2 linked regions of the Kluyveromyces lactis genome follow. Each later gene encodes a partner of the first gene's protein in a complex. Links are inferred from orthologs where the notes say so. Each region holds a gene or a part of one and is shown in the gene's direction. Other genes may lie near its edges.

Region 1 (8,350 bases):
TTATCGGTTAATGAACGTCTGACGAACTGGAATAATTTTCAGTTCCTTTTTACTATAACTTTTCAATGATTTTGAATTAACTATGTAATTGATGGTAATGTAATGTAAACAGTCTAACCTAAGATAAAACAATAAAACTTAACGTCTCTTGGCAATCTTACCTTTAGCAGCAGCCTTTTTCTTTGCATCCTTTGCCTTTTTAGCAGCGGTTGCTAGCTCTTCCTTAGTTTTCGGTTGAATTTTGAAGAATGAGTCAAGTCTTTTCTGTACGCCGACTTTCAAACCCTTGCGTAATCTTTCAATACCTGATTTAATTCTGTCTTCATTGAACCCTTTTTCTTTAACCATAAATTCAATCAATTCCTCGGCTTTAGGTTCCTCCCATTTCAACGTCACTTCCTCACTTGGAATAACATCTGGTTGCATGAATAAATCACGCGCTTCTTTGAATTGCCAACCTTCAGGGATTTTCCATCTGCCACTACTGATGTCTCCATTTTCGAATTTCTCTACGATGGCTTCCAGGGAACCGTGTTCTTTAATCAATTTCAATGCATTGACAGGGCCTACACCCTTGATTCCTTCACAATAATCACACCCTAGAATGATACCTAAATCAATGAATTGCGTCTGAGTCAAGTCCAAAGTGTTGTAAATCACATCAGTGTCAAATTCTTGGATTGGAAGTTTTCTGGCCTCACTGAAAGTCAAATGTCTCAATAAAACTGGCGTTTGATAGCATAATGTATCCATATCTTCACTGGCAGCTGCAAACACTTTCCCTGATTTAGCAAGCTCTGCACATTGCGCCTCAGCTTCTGCAGGTGCCACAACGTAAGGAATACCCATAAGAGATAACAACTTCTGAGCTTCCTCATTATGCCATGGCAAAACTTTCACGAGTCTTCTTTCATGTTTGATAATTTCTGCCTGTTCCGTGGCTTCTTTCAACTTAGCCTCGGTATCCTCACGTCTCACCTTACGTTTATCCAATTCGTATTTCTTAAGTTCTGGTGGACTTCCATCGAACACATAACATGGTTTTATTCCATGATCAATCATGCGCAACGTACGGTAGAACATACCCATAAGATGCGACGTCGTTTCTCCATCTTCACCAGCGAGCTGAACCCCATCCTGCTGTCTCACAGCAATGAGAAATTGATAAAGAGACATCGAGGCATCGATGGCTACTTTTCTTCCATGGAAATACTTTATATCTCTGCTCTTAATAGCATTCGGTACTTGCTCAGAAATAAGTGTAGCTAAATTTTTGATACCCATGATAACTGGTTTGAAAAAAATACCGGCCTTTTTTACAGAGGCTGTAGTTGTTCAATTATATTCAGAAGTTTGAGGTATACTACCACTTTATTAAAGCTGACAAGACGCGTCCCTTGCTGATGGCCTGTAATTTTTCACTATCCATTATACGTCTCAATGGACGCTGGAGCGAAAAAGCAGAGAGAAGAAAATAATGATAATAATTATAATATATCACGTGACACTCATTTCATAATCACTATCACGTGCAACCATTTATCATTCTTCACTGAAATATGTGTTACCCGGAATCAGCGTACTAATATCCAGGGTAACCTCACCAACGCCTTCAAGTGGGTCAGTCCACATGGAAAAAAAATGAAAAAAAAAAAAATATAACAACGAACGAACAGGATTTGAGATGAAAGTGTCAACAATCACGAAAGGGAAGCCGGCAGGCCCAAGGATTTAGGCGAAAGGTTCATTGTTTCGTCGATTGGTATAAACGAAATAATACCGTAAGAACGTACCTATTCTGTGAAGGCACGGCGGCTAAGTGAGATAGGGCAGAGAGTAAACGGAGCGAGTGCAGTGCACTGGGTGACGAAGAGGATTATTTAAAAGATAACAGAGAGCTTCAGAAAAGGTATACCTTTTTGTGCGTGAATTGGCGAGTTTCGAATCCAGCGATGTCGTTATATGAATACAAGCACCCGATCATCAATAAGGATCTGGCTGCGCCAGATCCTGTGAGTGCGCAGAAACGGTCTTTCCCCACGTTAGAGGCGTGGTACGATGTAATTAACGATTATGAGTTTCAATCGAGATGTCCTATTATTTTGAAGAATTCACATAAGAATAAACATTTCACTTTCGCGTGCCATTTGAAAAGTTGTCCGTTCAAGATTTTGTTGTCGTATCAGGGCGCCAACAATTCTGGTTCGTCTGAGGATGGTTCTCCGCATGGTTTAAGTGGCGATGGTGGTTCTTCGTCGTCTGGTTCGAATCACCATAATGGTCATACGAATTTGGCCGAAGATGGTAGAGCGGAGGATGAGGACGATGATGAGGATGATGATGCGGCTGTGACTGCTGCTATCGCAGCGGCAGTTGCAGCAGTTGCAGACTCTCAGGAGACTATCAAGGGTCCCTTCGTGGTAACCAAGATTGAACCTTATCATAACCATCCGTTGGAATCAAACCTTTCTTTGCAACGGTTTGTCTTGAGTAAAATTCCAAAGATTTTACAAGTTGATCTCAAATTCGACGCTATTCTAGAGTCGTTGTGTAACGATGACGATAATACAGTGGCAAAGTTTAGAGTGGCACAGTACGTGGAAGAATCCGGGATTCTCGATATCATCAAGCAACGGTACGGGTTGACCGAAGCTGAAATGGATAAGAAAATGTTAAGTAACATCGCTAGACGTGTTACCACGTATAAGGCCAGATTCGTCTTGAAAAGAAAGAAGGATGGCGTATACGCAATGCCCACCGCTCATCAATTGACTGGCGGTGACCACCATCAAGTACAACACCATCATCATCCATCGATACCAGCTCACCACCAACACCAACTACCCGAAGGTCAACAACGCGACGTTCAGCATCATCACCAACAGCAACAGCAACAACTACAACACCAGGAACAACACCAATCACATGTTGATAGTGGACATAATGTATATCAGAACAGAATTGGTTCGATCAGTGATAATGATGATTCCGCTATACATAATCTGGATGACACTAACGTACGTGTCGCAGCTGCTGCAGCTGCCGCTGCAGCGGCTCTGCAGTCTAGAGAAAACCACGATACCGAGGATCTGAAACGTACGCTAGAACAAGTGCAAGACGATGAAAGTTTAGACGTCGGTGTACCCGATTCCAAGAGACAGCTCCACAGAAGAGAAAGAGACAGAGTCGCGGAAGCTCTTAAAATGGCTACCAGAGATATCCTGTCAAATCAAAGTGTTGATTCTGACGTGAACGTCGATGTCGATTTAGTCACTGGCCATAAACAATTATCACCTCATGACGACATGGCGGAGCAGCTAAGGTTGTTGTCATCTCATTTGAAGGAAGTTGAAGCCGAGGAAAATGTCTCCGATAATAATCTCAAGAAAGACGATATTCCTGATGAAAATATTCAGCCGGAACTAAGAGGACAATAACCAACAAATTTAATACACCCTCATGACACATTCCTCTCTTTTCATATTTACTGAAAAATTGTAAAATTGTAACTATATATAATATTATCTTATGTGTAACTTTTATGATGGAAAAAAAAAATATATGAACATTAACTGGTTCCTATTCAACGATCTGCAGAAGCTCCACAATTATAATAAAAATTCAGGAACATACATTTAACCAGTTACCTGGATTCATACGGTTTCGAGAAGTTGAGCTTGTCTATTAGTTTAACCATGCATAGATCCTACGCAGTACTTCTTCGCAACAATGTGGCTCGTCTTTGTTATAGACCGGGTTCTACCTTATTCATTCGAAATTTTACCACCAGACACTCCTTAAGACAGAGCAAGCCGTGGTATTTGGACATATCAGAGAATAAGGAGGAAGATTCAAATTCTCCTTTCATTAAACCCATACGGTTTCCTCCTACAGAAATTCCTGCTTCACTAGAAACCATTTCAAAATATCTAAATGATAAGTTGGCAGTAACGGACATTGTGGTTTTCGACACTGCCCACTCCAGTTCTGCCACTTCAATTCAAAGCATGGCTAGCTATGTTTTAATTGGTACTGTGAAATCATTTAGACACCTTCAAAACTGTAATGATGAGCTAATAAAGTTTATTAAAGAAACGTTTGATGAAGTACCCAAATCGGAAGGTTTGGTCACCAGTGGTATACTAAGAAAGAGACAAAGGCGTCTAGGCAGGAAAACTAATTTGGGCAAAATAGCCAAGATAGAGAATGATGAAAGTGGCTGGTGTTTGATAGATTCTAACGTTGATGGGCTGTTTATCAATATAATGACTGAGGAAAGAAGAGATGATTTGAATTTGGAGGAGTTGTATTGTCGTGTTGAGGAGCTTGACCAGTACAAGAAGCAAATCAATTTAAACCCACCAGCGGAAGAAGAGGATGATGTTTTACTTGGATTAAGAAAGTTGATGATGAAAAATACGAAAAGATACTATTCTACCGTGGGAGAATCTCCGAAACCAACGTTCTTGGAAGCTCTTACAATCCAGGACCTAGATTCCGCTTCAAAACTGATAAAAGAAGAAAAAAAGCCTTACCATGTTATAGCATCTGCTCTCGGACGTTTACCAAACCATATAGAACTTGATGCCGAAAATTGGATAAAGCTATTTAATGAAGCCACACCAACCGAAGGTCCGTTAGACTATGAGTACTGGGGTGCAAGGTTCAAGTTTTTCCAGTTACTTTACATTTCCAAAAGAAATAACATAGAAGAAAATACTCAGTTAGATGCCAGTACAATCAAAGAGTTTAACAGAGAACTAAACTATTTCATCAATGATTTTTTTAGGTTTAAGCAATTGGCATTATGTCAGCCGACAAGAGAGGAGTTAATTGGCTTTCTTGAAATTTGCATTCAACATCTCAAACTTTCGAAAAGCTATAACCAGCTGATAAGTGTGAATATGTGGATTCTCAAGGCCTTACAGTCATATCAATATAGTGATCCTAAGGTTGTCCATGATCCCAGGGTCATCAAACTTTTAGTTAAGTCAATGCATACCGAAAACACTAACCTTAACTCACTTTACGAGTATGTCAATCTCATCACAAATGAATTTGAGGTAAGATCATTAACAAATGACGTGATAAAAGAAATAATAACGACTTTGGTAGAAAGTGAAAACTGGCCGACTTTGTTTAAATTTTGGAAACAATGCTTGTGTGAGAGTGCTGTCGATAGTAACGTATGGGATTTCTTCATAAAATCATTATTAAACAAGAATGACAAAGTCATTTTATCAGATATAGTGGATAATGGTCATTTGTTATGGATTCATAGAAGTAAATTGGTGATAAGTGATGACTTAAAAGCGTCACTATCGAAGTTACTTGACCGGGTGGATGGTAGTCATACCAATATTAAGAAGCTACTAAAGCTGTAAATAGTTTATAGACAGATATGATATTATTCTGGAAGGAAATTTCCTTCATTATTTTAATGTGAGATAAGTGTTCATGTGAAAGATTATGTCGATCAAAGCGCTTTAAGTGTTGCCATGAGTTGAAGAATTCAGACATTCAAATGTTTGTTCAAATATTCAACGAATAACGGTTTTACTCTATCTTGCTCTAAGTTTCTTAATCTATTCATTGCAACAAATTGACGTTTTATTCTTTGTAATTGAGGCATGGAGCAATTTTGTAGTGAGAGATCGACATAAAGACAGTTTGGATCGTTTAAATCAGTATTCTCAGGAGTAAGAATTATTCTTGAAGTGCCACCACTGACCACATTTTGCTGCATATATTTCATTATAATCTTTATGACACTACTGGCCTCGGAGTCAAGTATTTGCAAAGAGTTAGTGTGAGAGGCAGCCTTCAATATCGTGGCATTGTTTGGCTTTAATTGTTGCAGGATCTTCTCAGTATCTCTATCATTCGTTGCCGGTTTGAACACGGTTGGGAATATTGCCTTACTAATATCTGTGTATAGGGTACTGATGTCATCTTGAGACGTCAATATAGTGAATAATGGAGAATCCCACCTTGTTTGAGGGTTTGGTTCTTCATACCTTTGAATAAGAGCATTCAAAAAATTGCTTTCCCAAGGTTTATGCAAATCAGTCTCTTTCTCATTCCATTCAACCAAGTTGCTCATTGGGCATACCGTGTGGATCAAACAATACGTTGTCATCACGTTTTTCACTTCACAGTGCAATTGATACCGGAATCCTTTTATGTAATTCAACGAATCAACAATGACGACTTTCTGACGAGAAAGATCTCTCTTCACCACAGACATAATCTTAGATCTTGCCCTTCTTTCTTCATTTGACCCAATATAATCATCGTGAGATATGTTTAAGGTTTCATCTGAATGGTATACAACAGAATAGTTTGACAGTTTATCGTTGGAATCGATAGTTTCCTGTAGTAACGTGACGAGTTTCTTGGCCACAGTTGTTTTACCGCTACTCGGAAAACCAGTTAGTAAAACCAAGGGCATTGCTGTACAGTCAAGAGGTTCTAAGTTCACTAGACGTTGCTGCAAAGTCTGAAACAATGATTGAGTTTTTCCTCTTTTCATGAGCTCATCGAGTATTTTCAAAGTTCTTGTTCTGAACGCAGTAAAAAGTAATTCTCATGTTGAAAGAAGCTTTAATGATCACCTATCATGATTCACCAAAAGAAAGTTGACAAACTACTGATTACTTCTTTGTCATAAACATTAACGACAACTCCATTAACTGTAATAGTTGTTCACAAACTTACTGTATTGGAAGATATGAACGTTTCGGTAAAATGTGTCAAATACTCAGGTAGACGGCTGCAGTCTACATTTGTACCAAGAATGGTATTCCCAGATTTCAATATACCAACAAGTGACTTCAAAGGACATCAAAAGAAAGCTATACAAAGAGCTCAAAATCTCCTTCCTCAGCTTAATCTTCTAGTTGAACTTCGAGACAGCCGGGCTCCAATAGCCACTAGGAACCTCATATTCGATTACTTGTCCTTAGAAAAGAAAGTTGACAGACTAGTAGTTTACACCAAAACTGATCAATGCGATCCTGCTATTATTGCATCATTAAATAAATGGCATAAGGAAATGGACGAACAATATATCATGATAGATGGAAGAAGCAAAAAGGGCGCTAAAGATCTCTTACATATATTAAAATGGAAGTATGATAAGTTTCTCCAGAAAAATGATCCGGGGAAGAAGACTGTGGGACTACCACTGGGTTATAGAATGCTAATTGGCGGCATGCCTAATGTTGGGAAATCAACACTCGTTAATAGTTTAAGATTTACTGGATATGCAGGCTTGGATCATTCGGATGGAAGCAAACCCAAGAAGGTTGCGAAGACAGGTGATCAGGCAGGTGTCACCAGGAACACTAGTGAATGTATCAGAATCAGTGATTATAAAGGAGGGTTGTTTCTATATGATACGCCTGGAATATCTTTACCTGCCAAAGCAATGAGCAAGCAAAGAATGCTATCACTCAGTTTATGTGGGTGCGTTAAAAACAATCTAGTGGACCCTGTGATTCAAGCAGATTTTCTGTTGTATCTTTTGAACCTACAGGGAAAATATCAATTCTACACACACTACACTACAACCCCTACTAACAACATTGACATTTTGTTGAGTGGCCTCAAAAAGCAAGTAGGAATGACAAACGAGAATGCTGCAGCCATCTATTGGACAGATTCTTGGAGACAAGGTAGAGTTTTAAAATCTGGGTTAAGATCTGGTTCTAAGAAGTCCTCTAAAGCTACTCCAGCTCTATTCGAGTTGGAACCCATTTTGGAAAACTTTCAATACAAGAAAACTATGCAAGAAGAACTTGAAATTCTCAAAGGTTGGGATGTTTTATCCCAACCCTTACTCAACAAAAGAGAAAAGCATTTATCTAAGGCAAATACGCTTTTCTGAGAGAATACCTAAGAAGTAGTCAGTTCTTGGTTAATTATAAACAATGTAAATAAATAATAGAAAAGTATAGACTAGTTTTCCAACATATATCGATAAAGCAAATCGAACCCACCGTCCAAATTCCTAAATAACTCGCAAAAAAAAGTTCATTTTATGAGAAGGAGGCTAAATTGTTAAGTACACTCTCCCCGTTTATTACCACCGCTGACTACCTATAGGTACATCCCGAACTGAAAAAAAAGTTTGCGTGCTAATGAAGGTTTCGATACCAAGGAAGTCATCCGTTAAGCAGGTTTGATTTTTTTCTTATAATCAGCAAACGATAATTTCTTTTTCATCTGAGCTTGGTGGATAGTAGACGAAGGGCCGGGAACGCTGTCTATTCCACGCTTCAACGAATTTTTAATGCTATTAGAATCGGAAGTGACACTAGTTTGTCCTTGGTTTGATATAGTTTCGGTT
Region 2 (7,750 bases), on another chromosome or scaffold:
TATCTTTTCCGATAACCATGAGAAAGATGTAACAACTTGGCATCAAATTGAAATTGACATACCGAGAACCAACCCACATATTCCATTGTACCAATTCGAATCAGTTCATAATTCATTGAAACGGATATTGTATTTTTGGGCCATAAGACATCCTGCCAGTGGTTACGTACAGGGGATCAACGATCTAGTGACACCTTTTTTCCAAGTGTTTTTGTCCGAATACCTTTCACCATCGGCAAAGGATGACGTTTACAGTTTAGATCCGCTGACGTATTTGACTGCAGAGCAGTTGTCTGATGTAGAAGCGGATTGTTTCTGGTGTCTATCCAAACTCTTGGAACAAATCACAGATTATTTCATCCATGGTCAGCCTGGAATATTGAAACAAGTCAAACACCTCAGTCAGTTGGTGAAAAGAATAGATTGTGATTTATTCAGCCATTTCGAATCTGAGCACGTTGAATTCTTACAATTTAGTGTCAGATGGATGAACTGTTTGTTGATGAGAGAGTTCCAAATGTCAATGGTGATACGAATGTGGGATACATACCTCTCCGAGACTTCTTTGGAGACAAGCATAGTCTCAGAGGATCTCATGTCTGACGCATCGACTTCTCTGGATAGAAAGTCGAGAACATCGTCATCAGGGCCCTCATCTTCAGACTCCAGACAAACTACTCTCAGTGAATTTCATGTTTTCGTTTGTGCAGCTTTCCTAGTGAAATGGTCAGACGAATTAATGAAGATGGACTTCCAAGAGATAATTACATTCTTACAAAATCCACCGACAAAATCGTGGAAGGAATCTGATATAGAAATGTTACTAAGTGAAGCTTACATATGGCAGTCGTTGTACAAAGATGCTACTTCTCATTGGAGGTGATCTTTGAAGGGAGAATACTAAAATTTAATACTTTCACATATATCTAATATATAATGTAAACTGCCTGATTCAAACAACTGTATTGTGGAGAATGAATAACTAACAGCCCACCTGCAGGTTCCGTGAATCTTCTAGCATACTTCTCCTCGCATATCTCTTGCTTTTTTTCTCATCAGTAGCATCATTATTGTTTGCAGTGTCTGAAATTATTGTTAGCAAATAATTAATCAAAACTTAATCTCATCTCATCTCAATGAAGTTGCTGGTAGATAAGGTAGTCTCGACTGGCGGTTAAGGGGCTATTCCACGAGATATCGACATGTATAGAGCAAGGAGTCGTCGGAACAACGATGGTAGTGGCGTAAGAGGACCAAACAGTGCTTTGACCCAGTTTTTAAAGGAACAAGGTATTAGTGCTGAGAATATTAGAGATAGATGGTTAGAAGCTCAAAAGAAGGAAGCCGAACATCCACAAGAAACTCAGAAGGATGATTCTGAAACAGAATCTGATGAAGATCTTAAAGCAGGGGTAGCTGCAAAAAAACGGTCAAGAAAGCCCAGAGCTGTTAAGAAGCAGGAGTCGTCTTCTTCCGGAGAAAGTGATGATGATGAGGACGACGACGACGAAGATGACGATGACTACAAAGCAGAGGCGAGGCTTCGCCGGTTACGTGGTGCTGACCTAGAAGATTCTGATGAGGAAGAAGAAGTATTGCCGGTTTCTGATCGAAAGAAAAGGATGTTGACCTTGACTAATGGTAAGAAAACTTCTCCGCAACTAGCTAAGGCTCGCCATCAACAGAAGAAAACTAGAAGAAAGAAGGCTGCCAATCTTTTAGACAAGAAGGACTCACTCATTTCATCATTGCAGGATATATGTATTAAAGTTATCGGTAAATCTATTGTGGAATATAATGCACAATCGATGGTGGAACATATTAGAGATACTTTAGGTGGTGTATCTTTAGAAAACTTGAACAAACTAGCACAAGCTTTGACAAAAAATCGGGCCTTGAATGATGATACTTTACAGTTATTCTTGAACACCAGTTTAACTACTTTGACGTTTTATGACTGTTCAAAGTTGTCATATGAAGGCTACAAGAGACTTGCCATCTTTTCGCCGCATTTAGAGTCGCTTTCCTTACAGATGTGTGGACAGTTAAATAATGAAGCTCTCTTGTATCTAGCCGAAAAGCTACCAAACCTAAAAGAACTATACCTTGATGGACCGTTCTTAATTAATGAGGATACATGGGTTCAATTCTTCGAATTGCTAAAGGGTAGACTTACTGCTTTTCATGTTTCCAATACCCATAGATTCAATGATAATGCATTGTCAGCTATGCTTCGAAATTGTGGATCGTCCTTGGAATCTCTAGGTCTAGCAACTCTAGATACTGTGACAAATTACGCCCTATTACCGCAATATCTTAACTCTCCTAATTTCCACACTTTGATCTTGGAAGAGCCATCTAGAGAAACAGATATTAATGACGAGGTTATTATAAGTTTGTTAGGATCCATAGGCCAGAACCTTAGGAAGTTGTCGCTCAATAGATGCACTGGCTTGACTGATAGCTGTATAATTAATGGATTTTTACCATTTTTGTCTAACTCAGGGCAATCAATCCTTACAGACTTGGAATTAGAAGAATTGGATCAGATAACCACCGACGGCATAGTTCTATTATTCTCTTCGTTGCAGTTCCCTTTGTTGAAAAGATGTAGCTTGAAAAGATGTTTTGCTTTGGAGGATGCAGCCGTAGTTGAATTATTACTTAACTCCTCTTCCACCTTAGAAGAGTTGAATCTAAATGGTCTGAAATCCCTAACATCCAAAACTTTCACCTTCATGGCATGTCCTAACCTCAAGCAGCTAAATATAGGGTTTGTCCACTGTGTGGATAATGAAATTGTGGAAAAGATATCCAAGGACAATGAAAAGCTCACTATTATTGAAGTTTATGGTGATAATCAAGTCACAGGCAAATGCTCTCCTCGGAATGGTGTAAGCATTATCGGAAGGCAAAGTGACAGTATATAAATGATTAAAAAAATTCTAGGATCATGAAAATGCTTGAGTGTGAGAATGCCCTTTCAGCTACTACTTTAAATAATCTATAGACATGTAATCATCAAATTTAGGTTTCTGATGGATCTTTTCTAAATTTCTAAAAGTAGGCAAAGGTGCTGGATTGAGCTGCTTCGATGCAAGCGTCTCTATTATAGTATTTTTAATTTGAGGCTTATCAATGAACAATCCAGGATGACCGTTCGATCTATACTTTTCTGATTTATACCAGTCCTTGGTTAGCTTGGCGTTCGGCCTCCATGTTGGGTTGTTGATTTTGAACCTATTGTGAACTATTGGGTCAAACCCAAAACGGGATTGCGATAAATTGGTTTCGTACTCGGAATAATCTGCATTGATTAGATAAAACCCTTGGAAATCTCGTACGATATCATTGATAACTTTTGTTGGTAATACGATCTCAGTGCCTAATTGATCGACAAACTTTGTTAATCTGGCGATATTTTTTTGAGTCTTTTCAAACTTGTAGTAAGTCAACCAAAATAAGACTGAAGTCTTGATCGGATCCAATTTGGCGAAGTATGTAAAGTGTTTCCTGCATTGAATGACGTTCTTCAATACCAGCCAATGCACTTTTATTAGTTCAACTACCAGTATCGGAAGAGTAGTGTCATTTAGCATGGCAAGCAACTGCTGGGAAATGTCGTGATTTTCCGTATCTGCATTCCCTGATAGGTACGCCTTGATAGTTTTATCCAAAAATGTAGCATATTTACTCTGTTGTTCCAAGATCTTTTTGTCTTCATCATTCAAAGATGCTGCAAAATATCTTCTCTTGTGAAACCTTAAATATTTAATAGTTGAACTTGGATCATGTGGCCATTTAAGCTGGAACGTGTATAGAGCGTCCATATAGTGTTTGGAAGATAATTTATTATATGGATCCATATTACTTTCCAAATATTTGATGTATTTTTGCTTGAAAGATTTATTATCAGCAGGAAGAGCCCGGAGTGCTCTTTCAAACAAGGGGAACGTACATTCGGGACCAAAAGTCCTTTCAGTCCAGTCAATATAGGCTCCCCAGAAATATTCGTATCTTAAACATGGAATCAAACATCTCTCAAACGTCGATTTTATTAATTCTGTACTGAACTCAGTGTTGTTGATTAAGAAAGATAGATAAGCATCCCAATTCTGAATCTCATTCTCGGGAAGCTCAGGGATATTGAAAAATGGCTGTTTTATTTGTGATTCATATGTCCATATTTTGTTCACCTTCTCCTGGTTAGAAATAAATGTGGTATCCAAATGGATGCTTGATTCCCTATTAGCAAACTCTGGGTGATATTCCAAGAATTCCTTAAAGCTGGTGTAGTATCTTGCATATTGATGCAAAGGTTGCTGCATGACTTGTTTGTACACCTCAAATACGTTTTCCCAGTTCTGTAGTCTTGTTTCATATGCAATGTGCTTATCCCAAATATCGTGCGAGAGGAAATGAGATCCCACGAGGGATTCGCATTTCCTGAACTGGTTTCGTATCAGTTCACTATCATTCTGATTATGTGTTAGATAAACGTTCAACATATCAATCCAAAGATCTATCGACGTAGGGAACGAATGTAAAGATGCCTTTAAAGTAGAAATAGACCCTTCTAATCCATCTAGCTGATATTTCACCGCAACGTATCGTTTCCAGTAACCAAAAAATAACGGATACCTTCCCAATAACTCATCAAAAACTTTATATATATTGCTCTTCACATGTTCATTGGGATTATTGTATTTCTGTACCAATGCTTCTGTACCAACCACCAGTTTGTCGATAGTAGTTATATCGTTCCAGTCAACAGAATTATAACTCTGCACCCATTCATCGTTATTCTTCAGAAAAGTTTGGTCTAATCCTTCAAACATTTCATAAAATCCCTAGTTTCCTTCTTAAATTTGATATGCAAACCCCTGCTGCCGACTTCACACTCAAAACGGCTCACGGATAGCAGCTAAAGGCTCTTGTTCTGTTTGGTGGCATCATGCATCTTTAACAGAGATTTATCTTAAAGAATTACAATAATACGGTTCTTTGCAATTTTGAATCATTTTGGAAGCATGAAAGAAAAACAAACAGAGATAAACGCGCCTAAATGAGTGTTTAAAAGGTAATTATTAACTTAGTCGAATTCTGGGAATCTCAGTGTTTTATAGGAGTGCTCGAAATGCAGAATTGGCGTCTCAACAGCGGTTTAAACAGCAATTAATATAGTATCACGTCTCACGAATATGATTATTTTGTTTAAGGTTAATAGATACATCAATGACGGAAGCATTAAAGGTATGTTCGAGATGTAAACAAAGGAATAAACAAGGGAAAAGACCAGGGACAATCTTCGATTATCGATGTCTATACGTCCAGTTGTACTGGATGATGTCGGAGAAACATCATTTGAAGATGTTGAAAGCACATTTACTTATAAAGATGATATAGAGGTACCGAGATTGGCACCTAATTCAGCTACATCCACAACTACGGAAAATACCACATTCTCTAAGGATAAGAGGTATTCATCACACACGGAACTGGCGAGCGATCTTGATGATGATATGAACTATAACAGTGATTTTGAAGAGTACCAAAATGGTACAGACCTACCTCTTGCTGTGGATAGACGATTTAGGGAAAGTTCGGATCAGGACGAGCTAGCTGATTTGCAAGAACAACTGGAGAAGAAGCTATCATTGAACCTGAGAAATTCTAAGACCGGTGGTGGTAGTGGTACTAGAAATGTGGATCAATATATAAACCATGCGGGACTAGTGCGGCCATCGTTGAAGGATTCGGTACGACAGCGTAGATCGATGGTCGATTTGGCAACCCGTAGTAAAGGTAATATTACAAGCTTGAATTCACAGCAATCGCGTCGAGTACCGAACAGCAGGTCTTATATGAACCTTAGACCCAGTTCTGGTCGAACTCTCAGTTATAAGTCATCTATGCCATCGTTAATGAGGTTCAACCGTCAAGATGTGTTACTTGAGGACGAAGATGACGAAGATGACGATGAAGATGAAGATGATGAACCCTATCCATATGTGCCCAGAGTTAGAAGGAGTTACAGGGATCTTGGACCAAGGTTTGGTGAAAGAACTGATGACGGTAACGTTGTCCAAGACATTGCTGTTGAGGCTACAGAAATGGCTAATAATGGAGACGACGATGACGATAATTTCGGTAATGATTTTGAAGGAATTGACGATAACTTCCAGTTCGCTACTAATAACAACAATAACTTTTCAGCATTTGATCCAACATTACGTTTATCACCCTCAGAGTATGATATCGAACATGATGACACTTTATTAACACCACAGCTGCATAAGAAGCATTATGCGTTCGACGCTCCGTTGGATTCGTATAGGGAAGCTCGTCAACAACGGGGTACGGCAAAACAGGCCGCTGCTGCTGCTGCTGTTAACAGACGTAATTCTACAAGAGCTCGTGCTCGTTTAAAGACAATAAGACAAGAAATTGATCTCAACACGCCGTTGAAAAGAGGTAAGATGAAATACAACCCAAGGGAGAAACGATGGGATGGTAATGAGGATATTTTAAGCAGTTTCGATAACATTGAAAATGTCGATCGGAAAGCGTTTATCATCAAGAACAAAAGGTCAAAGTCTCCGTTGAAGACTTCGTCCTCTACTCAAATAGCGGCATCAGGGACGAATGCGGCCTCCTCAAATTCTCAGCATGGGAAGGTCGTGGGAAAAATGAGATTTGATGAAAAGAACCTAAGATGGCTACGAGTTGATGGTACTGAAGAAGATCCGTTTCATGGTATCACAGACTTGATGCCAAGATCTCAATCTTCACCTACCAAGAACGTCAAATTCCAATCACAAGGACATTCTGGTAACATTCTTCGATCACAGTCTCAACTGCCGTTCGGAAGAGATGAGCATGGAAATAGATTTATCTCTTCAGAATCCACACGATTCCACTCTTTGACTACAAACTCAACCACAGATCCTACGTACCAAATTACAAGCAAACAATTAGAGAAGTTTTACCATGAAGAGAATAAATGGAGCAGGAAGGTAGGTGGATGGTTCATTCTTGGTGATAAATCTAGAGACACTGGTTCCGCAGACCAGTCACATACCAGTTTAAATGACAAATCATACATGTACGAAATCAGGAATATGGTTATCTCATCAGCGCGTAACTGATTCTGAATCAGTGTCCTGACATGTGTCACCTACTATAGCATTTAATTTATTCAGAGACAATAACTATACATATAAAAAATCATCTTTTATGATAGAACGGAATAATCTCTCTAACATAACATCTAGGTCATTCTATGTTACAAAGCCTATCGCACTACATATTCGGCACTGATTTCCTTAATATAGTCCCTTTAAAACCATCGGTTTTTGTTCAGAATTCGATTATAGATCACGGTCAAAGAATCTTTTTATAGGAAATCAACATTTCCTTATATAACAACATTAGTTTTAAGATGAAACACGAAAGTAAATAACAACAGTTGGAGGTTTAGAATAGTCTATTTGGTACTTAAGAGACATTATATTGGTGGTATCATTGTATCCCATATCAGAATCAATTTTGGAGCTCCCAATCAGTATCTTTTTGTTTTATCTATGGTATATGATTCACTTTGAGATTATTTATAGATACTTGCAAAGACTGATCTGTTTAGTCGAATAACCTGAGTGCATTCCCTCTTCTAATATGTTTGATAATGATAGAAAGTTGGATCTTAACTCTAAGACCTTTGATGTGCTTGATCTCGAGCTGTTCAAGAACT

Evidence for each region. The genes of interacting proteins can lie anywhere in the genome.
Region 2: ABF1 (region 1) and RAD7 share a complex: the UniProt entries of both Saccharomyces cerevisiae proteins name them as parts of the global genome repair (GGR) complex. The link is inferred for Kluyveromyces lactis from reciprocal best matches to the Saccharomyces cerevisiae genes ABF1 and RAD7.

Annotation. Positions count from the first base shown.
Region 1 is NC_006042.1:271,375-279,724, reverse strand, and holds ABF1 (DNA-binding protein ABF1), read left to right. Parts: upstream 1-1,952; coding exon 1,953-3,437; downstream 3,438-8,350. Other genes in the region: multifunctional nuclease RAD27, read right to left, coding at 139-1,284; ATP25 (Atp25p), read left to right, coding at 3,696-5,384; KTI12 (Kti12p), read right to left, coding at 5,513-6,532; putative GTPase MTG1, read left to right, coding at 6,731-7,888; KLLA0_F02882g (uncharacterized protein), read right to left, coding at 8,173-8,350. UniProt on the Saccharomyces cerevisiae protein: General regulatory factor (GRF) that contributes to transcriptional activation of a large number of genes, as well as to DNA replication, silencing and telomere structure. Involved in the transcription activation of a subset of ribosomal protein genes.
Region 2 is NC_006037.1:710,029-717,778, forward strand, and holds RAD7 (UV-damaged DNA-binding protein RAD7), read left to right. Parts: upstream 1-1,202; coding exon 1,203-2,930; downstream 2,931-7,750. Other genes in the region: GTPase-activating protein GYP1, read left to right, coding at 1-883; PRP39 (Prp39p), read right to left, coding at 2,991-4,838; BFA1 (Bfa1p), read left to right, coding at 5,319-7,148; pheromone-regulated K(+) transporter PRM6, read left to right, coding at 7,675-7,750. UniProt on the Saccharomyces cerevisiae protein: Component of the global genome repair (GGR) complex which promotes global genome nucleotide excision repair (GG-NER) which removes DNA damage from nontranscribing DNA.